3 linked regions of the Schizosaccharomyces pombe genome follow. Changing the gene in region 2 together with the main gene of any one other region gives a genetic interaction. Each region holds a gene or a part of one and is shown on either strand. Other genes may lie near its edges.

The links. A genetic interaction does not mean that the proteins touch.
Region 1: mutations in bcp1 (region 2) and tim21 together harm fitness more than expected from each alone (negative genetic interaction), as found in Schizosaccharomyces pombe (one large-scale study listed by BioGRID).
Region 3: mutations in bcp1 (region 2) and ftm3 together harm fitness more than expected from each alone (negative genetic interaction), as found in Schizosaccharomyces pombe (one large-scale study listed by BioGRID).

Annotation. Positions count from the first base shown.
Region 1 is NC_003423.3:4,397,271-4,400,946, forward strand, and holds tim21 (TIM23 translocase complex subunit Tim21), read left to right. Parts: upstream 1-2,028; 5' UTR 2,029-2,049; coding exon 2,050-2,721; 3' UTR 2,722-3,131; downstream 3,132-3,676. Other genes in the region: uap1 (UDP-N-acetylglucosamine diphosphorylase Uap1/Qri1(predicted)), read left to right, coding at 70-1,497; adn2 (transcription factor), read right to left, coding at 3,346-3,676. UniProt on the Schizosaccharomyces pombe protein: Essential component of the TIM23 complex, a complex that mediates the translocation of transit peptide-containing proteins across the mitochondrial inner membrane. Required to keep the TOM and the TIM23 complexes in close contact.
Region 2 is NC_003423.3:283,103-286,484, reverse strand, and holds bcp1 (thioredoxin peroxidase), read left to right. Parts: upstream 1-1,668; 5' UTR 1,669-1,959; coding exon 1,960-2,547; 3' UTR 2,548-2,882; downstream 2,883-3,382. Other genes in the region: SPOM_SPBC1773.03C (aminotransferase), read left to right, coding at 1-446; csc3 (WD repeat-containing protein), read right to left, coding at 2,937-3,382. UniProt on the Schizosaccharomyces pombe protein: Thiol-specific peroxidase that catalyzes the reduction of hydrogen peroxide and organic hydroperoxides to water and alcohols, respectively.
Region 3 is NC_003424.3:5,563,666-5,566,649, reverse strand, and holds ftm3 (transmembrane helix domain-containing protein), read left to right. Parts: upstream 1-1,998; coding exon 1,999-2,439; downstream 2,440-2,984. Other genes in the region: ftm4 (transmembrane helix domain-containing protein), read left to right, coding at 1-444.

The DNA of each region.
Region 1 (3,676 bases), 4.1 Mb from region 2:
TTTAGCGATTCAAGTTTGCCAAACATTCATTTTTTTTTTTTAGACTGTATTTATAACGCTAAATACGAAATGGACGACAAAGAATTGTTTGATCGGTCTATATTTGAAGAAACTAATCAGTTACATTTGTATGATCAATTGAATTATTTAAAAAAGAATGACCTGCAAAAGTTTAGGAAACTTTTAAATCAAGTTCAGCAATTGGACTTACGGTCATTGTGGTTGAAGTATCGAAATGCTAAAGCGACAAGCCAAGAGAACAGAAAATTGTCCCCTTCAGAAGTTGGTCCACTATCTATTGTAGATACGTCTGACTCAAGTTGGTGGAGAACAGGTCTTCGGGAAATTGCTAGAGGTCATGTAGCTGCCTTAGTATTGGCAGGAGGTCAAGGCACTCGACTTGGGTTTGCTGGTCCAAAAGGTTGCTTTAGACTTGGGCTGCCTAATAATCCGAGCATCTTTGAGCTGCAGGCACAAAAAATTAAGAAATCGTTGGCGCTCGCCAGAGCCGCATTTCCCGATCAAGAAGCCTCTATAAGCATTCCATGGTATATAATGGTTTCTGAATGTACGTCAGAGGAGACAATTTCTTTTTTTAAGGAGAATGATTTCTTTGGTATTGATAAGAAAGACGTTTTTTTCTTCCAGCAAGGAGTTTTACCTTGTCTAGATATCTCAGGTAGGGTCCTTTTTGAATCTGATTCTTCATTAGCTTGGGCTCCTAACGGCAATGGAGGTATTTATGAAGCTTTGCTTTCCTCTGGTGCATTGAATGATATGAATAGAAGAGGTATACTCCATATTACGGCTTATAGCGTTGACAATGTTCTTGTTTTGCCGGTTGATCCTGTATTCATAGGAATGGCTACTACTAAAAAACTTGAGGTTGCCACTAAAACTGTTGAAAAAATCGATCCTGCTGAAAAAGTGGGTCTCCTTGTATCTTCCCATAATCATCCTTGTGTTGTAGAGTACTCTGAAATTTCTGACGAAGCATGCAAAGCTACAGAAAATGTTGATGGTCACAAGCATTTGCTGCTTCGTGCGGCTAACATTGCATACCATTATTTCTCTTTTGATTTCTTACAGAAAGCTTCTTTGCACTCAAGTACCCTTCCTATTCACCTTGCATGCAAGAAAATTCCATTTTACGACGTAACGTCTCATCATTATACTACACCTTTAAATCCCAATGGATATAAACTTGAGAGTTTTATTTTCGATTTGTTTCCCAGTGTGTCAGTTGAAAATTTTGGATGTTTCCAGGTACCACGTAGGACTTCATTTAGTCCTCTAAAAAATTCAAGTAAATCTCCCAATGACAACCATGAAACTTGTGTAAACGATATTTTGAGTTTAGGTAAAAGCTGGATTTTAAAGAATGGTGGTATCTTAAGTCCAAGCGACTGCACCTATGTTTCCCCAGAATGTAGTTTACAAGGAGAATCACTCGAGTGGATTAAAGGGAAGCAGGTTAGCAATTGTAAACTTTACTAGTTTCCTCTCCTATATTCAACTATTTTTAAAGGTTTATATAAACAATGTAACAAAGTCAATGTGATAAATTTATTTACTTTCATTTTATATTGTACAATAATCGTCGAAGCACTAATTGCTGTTCTTAATCAGCAAATCAACATTCAGGATTTCAATTACGGTTTTACTTCGATTGTTAATATATTAATTTAATAAATTAATTGACCGTGCGTTTATTGAATTTATTAGTGACTGAAAATTTTCTAAATCATCTTCCACCTAATTCGCTTTCGTTCATTTTAAAATAACCCTGACTTTTAATATATCGTTGTTTAATCATGATGTTGCATTATTACTCCTTTCTTTTCAAGCTAAATACTCTCAAATTTTAGTATGCTTTTTACTAAATTACCTGACTAACGGAATAATGAGGTGTAACAACCATATCACTGCTAAAGCTCAAAAATTTAACGAACTACATTGCATCCTATGTCGAGCTCACTAGACATTGCCTTTATGCCGTTTAGCCTCGTCACTATATACATCTTCTTTGCATCTTTTTGTATCAACTAGATGATTCGTACTATTCAAAGGCAGAGCGCTACAAGGTTTTCTTCAGCTTTGGTTCAGAGGAGATTATACTCTTTGGCTTCTGATTCTCTCAATAAACAACGGAAACCACAAGAAGAAGGGCGCCTGGCACGAATTTTCAAAGATCCGTCTAACAAAGCTTGGAAGGATTTGACGGCTCCTCAAAAAGCATACAGAACTTCTGCTAATATTGGAAATTTTTCGATTGTGATATTTGGAGGCGGCGTTTTCGGATTGATTATATATGCACTTGTCACTAGTATCTGGAAGGGCGAGGCACATTACGGTGATGAAGCTTTTGAACTTTTAAAGGCTAATGAAGAATGTCGATATGTTTTTGGAGATCACATGAAAGCCCTAGGTGAAGCCACGCATCCTCTTCGTCGAACTCATGGTATATTGACTAGTCGTGTGTGGGATCACCATGGTGTAGAACATCTAGTACTACAATTTCACTTAATCGGTAATGAGAGAAAAGGGCACGTATTTGGAAGACTTGTAAATGTTCAAGGTGACTATAAATGGGAATATCTTTTCGTTGATGTTGCAAATTACGGAAAAATCATAATTTTTGATCATACCAATTCTGTACGACAACAACATAAGAATTTTGGTTTATGGGGAAGCTTAAAAAATATTACATGGGGAAATTAGAATTTCCGAATGATAAACGCACGACGGAAAGGTATAGCTGTTAATTTCAACCGAAAAGGAAATCATTGAATTATTTCTCGATTTTAATGGTTTGATTAATGGTTTTTCGCAGAGAATTAATTTTCTAATTTACGAATTAATTTACAGGCGATGTTAATGATTTTTATCAGAATTAGCACACTTAGTTATGCAGTATTTGGATGTATATTGCAAAAAATAAAAAAATCGTCGACACTTTATTACTAATTAAGCGATCGAACCTCATGATTTGTTGTTTAATTAGTTAGTATAAAGAAGCGAATTTGTACGAGGGGCCTTTTCGCAGGGGCTGATTAATCGCCAATCTAATGTACTACCTAAATGTGTTTAGTTATAAAAAATATAAGAATGATTCAAAGCACATGAAATAATTTTGATTATTAGATATAAAGTACAAGATGTAGGCCGGTATTTATAACCGAGTACACTAATCCATATCCAACTAGCAATTAATTATATATTAAATTTTTATAATGACAAAACGCAACGCATTCAAAAAAGATGAAAAAATCTGGTATATAATTTCCAAATAAACAAATTAAAAAAGAAGAAAAACAAGGATAAAATACTTAAGTTTCGACAAAATTAAGCAGCAGTCGAGTCTTCATTATCCGGCAAATTAAACAATCCAAACCATAAATCGTCACCAGTACTAGTATCTTTTAAAAATTTGTCGAAGTCAAAATCATTTAGAAGAGCCGCATCGATGTCTGTTGAATTTCCAACATCCAATAATTGATTGTCTGAAGATTTAGTGGCAACTGTGGTAGACTCCGTAGGTGCAGAAGGAGTCGCGGAAGTATCAGGATTTGATTTTCCTGACTGATTTTGATTATCCAACTCAGAATCGGATTTGTGAACATTTGCTCCTTGCGATGGTTCCAAAGCAGGACCTACACTTGTTGCTTCATTTGTT
Region 2 (3,382 bases):
CTGCCATGGCTGGTTTTTTTACATATCAAGCCCACCCAATTGCTTGTTCTGCTGCCCTGGCGGTGCAAACTATTTTAAGACGAGATCATCTTGTTGAAAGGGCAGCAGAAATGGGTAAATACCTTTCGGAAAAATTACATGAGACTTTTGACTCTCATCCCAACGTGGGAAATATTCGAGGCCGCGGTTTGTTTTGGGGACTCGAGATCGTTAAAGACAAAGCTACCAAGGAATGTTTCCCTCCTGAATACAAAGTTGGTTCTCTCGCCAACAAAATAGGTTGCGAGCATGGTGTTTTCGTTTATCCAGGCATGGGTACAATTGATGGCACCAGAGGAGACCACGTATTGCTGGCTCCTCCGTATATTATCACTCGCGAGCAAATAGATGAACTAGTGGAGGCTCTTAGCAAAACCATTACATCTACAGTTGCGGCCCTTCCTTGAATGTACGCAAGTTAACGAAATTCCTCTTTATCAGTTATAATGTTTCAGATAATTTGGATATACTTATGTTAGAAGACCTTTGGTCATGGTATAATAATTAATTTTATATGAAATGAATTTACAATGCATTAATATACTTTCTCCGCTACGACCCTTCGTTGTAATAAAATTGATAATTCCATACGGCTATAGGGTAGACGATGGCTCGCAATCATTTGAAAACATGTTCTCTGCGTAAACGCGTTTCTATATAGTTTGAATCAACAAACGTAAAAAACAAAAAAAAACTTGGACAAGCCAGAACTCGAATCTGGGACCTCTTCCATGCTAAGGAAGCGTGATAACCATCTACACCACATGCCCATTTTATTATACATTACACATTTATAGTATATTACAAGCATAGTAGGCAGTATACCATAATTTCAACTATTTAATGTATAATAAATAGACACATTATTAGCCAAACAGTTTGGATTGTTTTTGGGTTATTTTCATAATGTAGAACCAGTTGCTAATACTTCGATACAAGTTTAATTTTAAAGTAATATATGTCTATTATTTTACCTCTTCATCCAAGCATCGATGGTGTAGCGGTAACATCAATGCCTTCCAAGCATTAGCTCCGGGTTCGACTCCCGGTCGATGCAATGTTTTTAGCCTTTTTATAAAAAAAATGCAATGTTAGTTTAATAAAGACGATAGCCTCGCTTGCTAACATCATGTTTTATAGTCTTGGCTTACTTCCTTAGAATCTTTACTACGATTGCTACATTGACATTGCATGCAAATCAGTTCCTAGCTGATGGATCCGTTCTACAATTGACGAACAAAAGATATTTGAAATTTGTTAATAAATTAATTGTTATTTTATTTATATTTCTGTAACGCTGTCGAGACGGACAATCAGAGAAAATGCTGTTACAGTTTACGAAAGACCATTTTTTAAAGCCATACTAGTAAAAACGACACCATGTTAATAATGATTTGACTAGAAATTTTATGAAAGAAAACATTCTTTAGTCATAGTAGGATGCAAAGCTATTCCGATTGTATAAGCAGGGGAAGATCGGTTCCCTATCGATCGTTTGAAAGGTCAGCTAAATACGCTAAATACGATTTTACGGGATCACATTGGTAATGTTGTAAAGTAATATCAAAGCGAAGCTAACAAATTGGTAATATTTATGTCGTGATTCTTCACTACCTGTACTTTCTTCCTACACCAGAAAGAAAATCTCAGGTGTTATTGTAAAATTGTTTTTATTTTGGTACCGAAATTCTGAAAGTTGAGTAGTAAAAAGTTCAGAGTACTTCATCCTGAACAGAGTTTCACTACTTTGATCATTTTATCTAGCCTTTACAAGTTAAAGCGATTTAATACTGATCAGCATTGACACCAACGTTTTTGGTTTTACAGGTGTTGTTTAGAATATAAATTTATATACTGCAGCTCTGCATCAACCTTTCTCCTTCCCCTCTAGCATTTTTCTTGCACACTTTAAGCCTGTCAATGGACGCCCCCAGAAGATCTAGCAGATTGGCAGCCAAGATTGCAAACGTCTTGGATAGCAAAGGAACGATTATTCCTGAAGCTGCTCCAGTAATGCTGAAAAAGCCTGCAAAAGATGAATCAGTTGATTCAACTATTCAAGTGGGAGACGTAATTCCCGATATCACTTTGCCTGACGAAGATGGAACTTCCATTCGACTTCGCGATATTACTGCAAATAAAGGGCTTGTAATTTTTGCCTACCCAAAAGCTAGTACTCCTGGCTGCACGAAACAAGGTTGTGGTTTTCGTGATAACTATCCTAAGATACAGGCCTCTGATTATGAAGTTTTAGGGTTGTCTTTCGATACTAGCAAAGCTCAAAAAGCTTTCAAGGATAAGCAAAACTTTCCTTATCATTTGCTTTCGGATCCTAAAGGTGAGCTAATTAAAAAGTTAGGCGCTGAGAAGCCTGGTGGTGGAAAGCTGTTTAGAAGCCATTGGATCTTTGAGAAAGGTACTGGCAAATGCATAGTGAAGGAAATTGACATATCACCTCTTGTCAGTGTTGACAAAGCCTTTGCTGTAATCACTGATTCTGAACCTTAGTTGACAAATTGTCTACGCTCATTGTCAAATTTGGAGGATAGTCTACATGCCTATTGCTATATGATTCATGATGAAATTACACTTTTTTATGTCTTGCTACAATGTGCTTCAACCCTGAAGATACATTCAAATATGATCACTACACAATTTTATACAAGTTGATGGTCCAAGTTAGTGTTGTTCTTATTTTAGTAACGTTGAGATTAGATTAAATAGTTGCCGTATATCTAATACAAATATAGCTCCAGCAACGGTGTAGATTTTTGGTTCATTACGGTTAGAAATCGTAAATCATTATTTTTTAACAAATAACTCATTTTGATTAGAAAAGTTGGAAGTTTCATAAAAAGAGGGAAATCTTCCTGTATTCGTTTATCTTTGTTAGTGCTTTATGGTAAATATTTGCGGTCGTAAACAGAAATTCGCTCTTTACAGCCCACAATCAAATGCTCCAACTTATCGACGGGTGAGTTGATCCAAAGAATATCTGATAAATCAGTAATTTCCTCTTGAGCTTCTCTGCTAGGTAAGCTTTCGAGAGTTGAAAGTTTATCGTCCTGCCTCAAGAAAAAGACTCTTCCATCAGATGCACTAATCGCGAATTCCGGACGATTTACAGCAAACGCAATACCAGTCAAAGAGACTTTGCTAATCGATTTCTCTGCAAGCAATTCCTCACTCTTTACATCGAACACTCGCACCATGCCATTTTCATGCAGAGAATATAAGCGATCAGGGTTACCATTTTTCCATACGATCTTGTTGATCCTGTCTTTAACAGCCGGATTACCAATAGCAGAATTTCCAGCAATGCGCATTTGGCTTACAAGAATTT
Region 3 (2,984 bases), on a different chromosome or scaffold from region 2:
AAATATCTTATGATAAAAGGAATTAGTATTGTCATTGCTTTATGTTCTGTATACTGGATTTCTTTATATAAAGACGTATATGTAGTATCAGAGATTTTTGACATGATCCAGTATGAGGTATTTCCTGCAATTTGGGTGTATTCTATTTGTCATTTATTGAAACAATGCACGTCTGTAACAACTTACGAAAATGCTTCAAAAGCCAGATTTTTCAGAAGAATGCTAAATGCATTTATCTTTATATTCTGTGCATCTCCAATGTTGCATTACCTGTCGAATATTATATTTGGAAACTTTGATTACAGACTGTCGGTGATCATTGGTGATCTTTTCACTTTTATGGAGAAAATTGCTTTTCCATGTTACATAATGTTTCCCACCCATAATGAAGCACTTGCCTACAATCGAAATGTAGCTGAAGAGGCTCAAGAGAAAATGATTTAACAAAAACCATGGTTTACTTGATTCACCTTTAAAGGGGTTACCGGGATTATTTTATTTATTATTTGTTTATCAATGGATTAATATCCAGTTATTTTAATCTCACTTTTTTACACAGAAATTGTGTAGTAAGTTCATTCTTATTTAATATACCACCTATTTATTTTTTACAAATGAATATTTTTTTACTGGAACGTTTTAAATACACATAACCTTTGAGTCGATGTGAAATAATGTTTTGTTCAAACTTAAAAGTTGCGAATCTGACATATAGACAAAAAAAAAATAAAAAGAAAAAACTGGTTACCTTCATAAACATATTTTGCTAATTTATTGAATTTAATTATTTTCAACTTGCTTTCCCATTTTCCCAACAATTTTTTTATCTATAATATATATTTTACAAAATTAATATAGTACATCGCATGGTTTTCTTTAAAACGACATAAACGTATAATAATAAACGGGGATTCAAAGTAATAAATCGAATCCAAATCAACTTTCAAATACATCCATTTCATCTACTTTACCCTTATATTCCCCTTCATATCCCCAACAAAAAACAGGAATTTGCGAAAGTAGTAAATGGTAAAAGTGAATAAATAGAATCAAGGTTAAAAGCTTACTTGTATGCATAAGAAGATAACTCCCTCCTCTTTACTTTTGCTTAAAAACAGATTCTGAGATTCGGGACTAGCATCGGTAATATAAGTTTTTCTTTCATACTGTTGAGTACTAGCATCAGAACCCTTAATGGTAGGAAGATCATCATCATGACTACGCCTTTGTTCAATCGAGTAAACATTTGCTGGTTCGTGCCAGTCACACTGAGAACAACAAAGTACCTATTATTAAAAATGTTAGCAAGCGATCGCTAACAAGTTGAAAAGTAAACACCTCCAACTATTCCATGGAAAGCATGTAACAATGAAGATCAATGAATGGCTATTAGCTTAACAAACTTGTAAACTCAAAACAGACTAACAACGTTTGTCAGGCACTAAGAGCAATAATGGAACAGACTTCATATCAAACGCTTTCTTGAATGTTCTTACCTTATTCGTATAAACCGGAAGAACAGGCACAATGAGAACCGTTACGGTTTTCAACTGACGACATACTCGGACTAAAAACAAAATGTTATGTTAACATTAATAAGACAAGTTTAAAAAAAAAAAGAAAGAGCCAATTGCTTTCGAAACTACTCAACTTGTTTATTTCTCGTACCAGTCTTCTTTGAACTAAAAAAAAAAAAAAAGCATTAGCAAAATGTGTTGTCAAACGGATAAAAAGAGAATAGGAAGAAGATTGCTGGAAACAATTTTAAAACAGCGAATAAAAAAAAAAGAAATAATAATAATAATAATAAACAAAATACGAGTCGCTAATTTTTGAAACTAATCGCTTCCAACAACTGTTTCATTATAACTTCACCATTTTAATATTGTCCCCAAACAGCATGATTTAATTCTCTTTCACTAATTTCATACCACACAGGACACGTAAGTAAAACATCCTTATAATCGTCAGTGGATATCCACATATCTCGTAAATGTAATGGCATTGTTAAAAAAAATAAACACTCAAGTGAATAGAATTATGAAGAATTCGAGTCTAGTTCAAAATATTTGTTTTGACAGAGTCCCTCTATTTATACCAAGACTAAGCCTCACAGTGAAATATTGTCTAGCAGTAAAATTGCTGATTTATTTATTATATTGTTGGTACATTTACTCGGAAGTACCATCGGCTTCATCTAAATTCCGATCCTTTACATTTGGATGCGTCGTAGTATATCATAACAAATTTTTTCCTCGTTTCATTAGAACTCACTCCATTAACTCCATTAGAACGTTTTCTAAATTTCAAGTCATTATACTTTTCTCTATTGAGAAAGTCACTAGGTCAGAAAGCAAGAATCATTCTTACTCGAAAACCGATATTAGTGATCTGCACCAGGGCTATAATAATCCACCATCAAGATTCATATCACGATAACAATTCCATAGTATCTTGCTATATACGTGTAATGAGTATTCGATACTGGCTTGATTGCTATTTCTCCTTTGCTTGTAATCGTAAAATTGACTTGAAGATCTAAACCTTCTAATGCAATCATTGGAATTCTGCCTAACCTGATCAAATATGGCTTGATCACCGTTAAGTTAAAAGCAGAAGCTATGCCAATCAGTATGATTGTAACTTACAAAAAAATATAGCACAACGACATACAACATTATGGTACAATAAAGAAGACTTGATATATCAAGAACGAGGTTCAGTTTGTGCTCCGTTTATATTATTGTATTTCTATATATGACATTACTTGATGCAATCGCTTAAATATGTACTTTTGTGTAGTTATACTCGCAAGTACAGTAGCATTTTTAAAGTAGCGGTGATGTTGACGAATGGTTTGTTTCAAATCCATCCATTTCAATTTCAATTGTAAATTTCTCTTTTTCAATTATTAATCAAGTAAGTTGAAGTGTATCAGCACAATAAATTCTGACTATTACTACTCTTAAAATAAAACTCAAGCG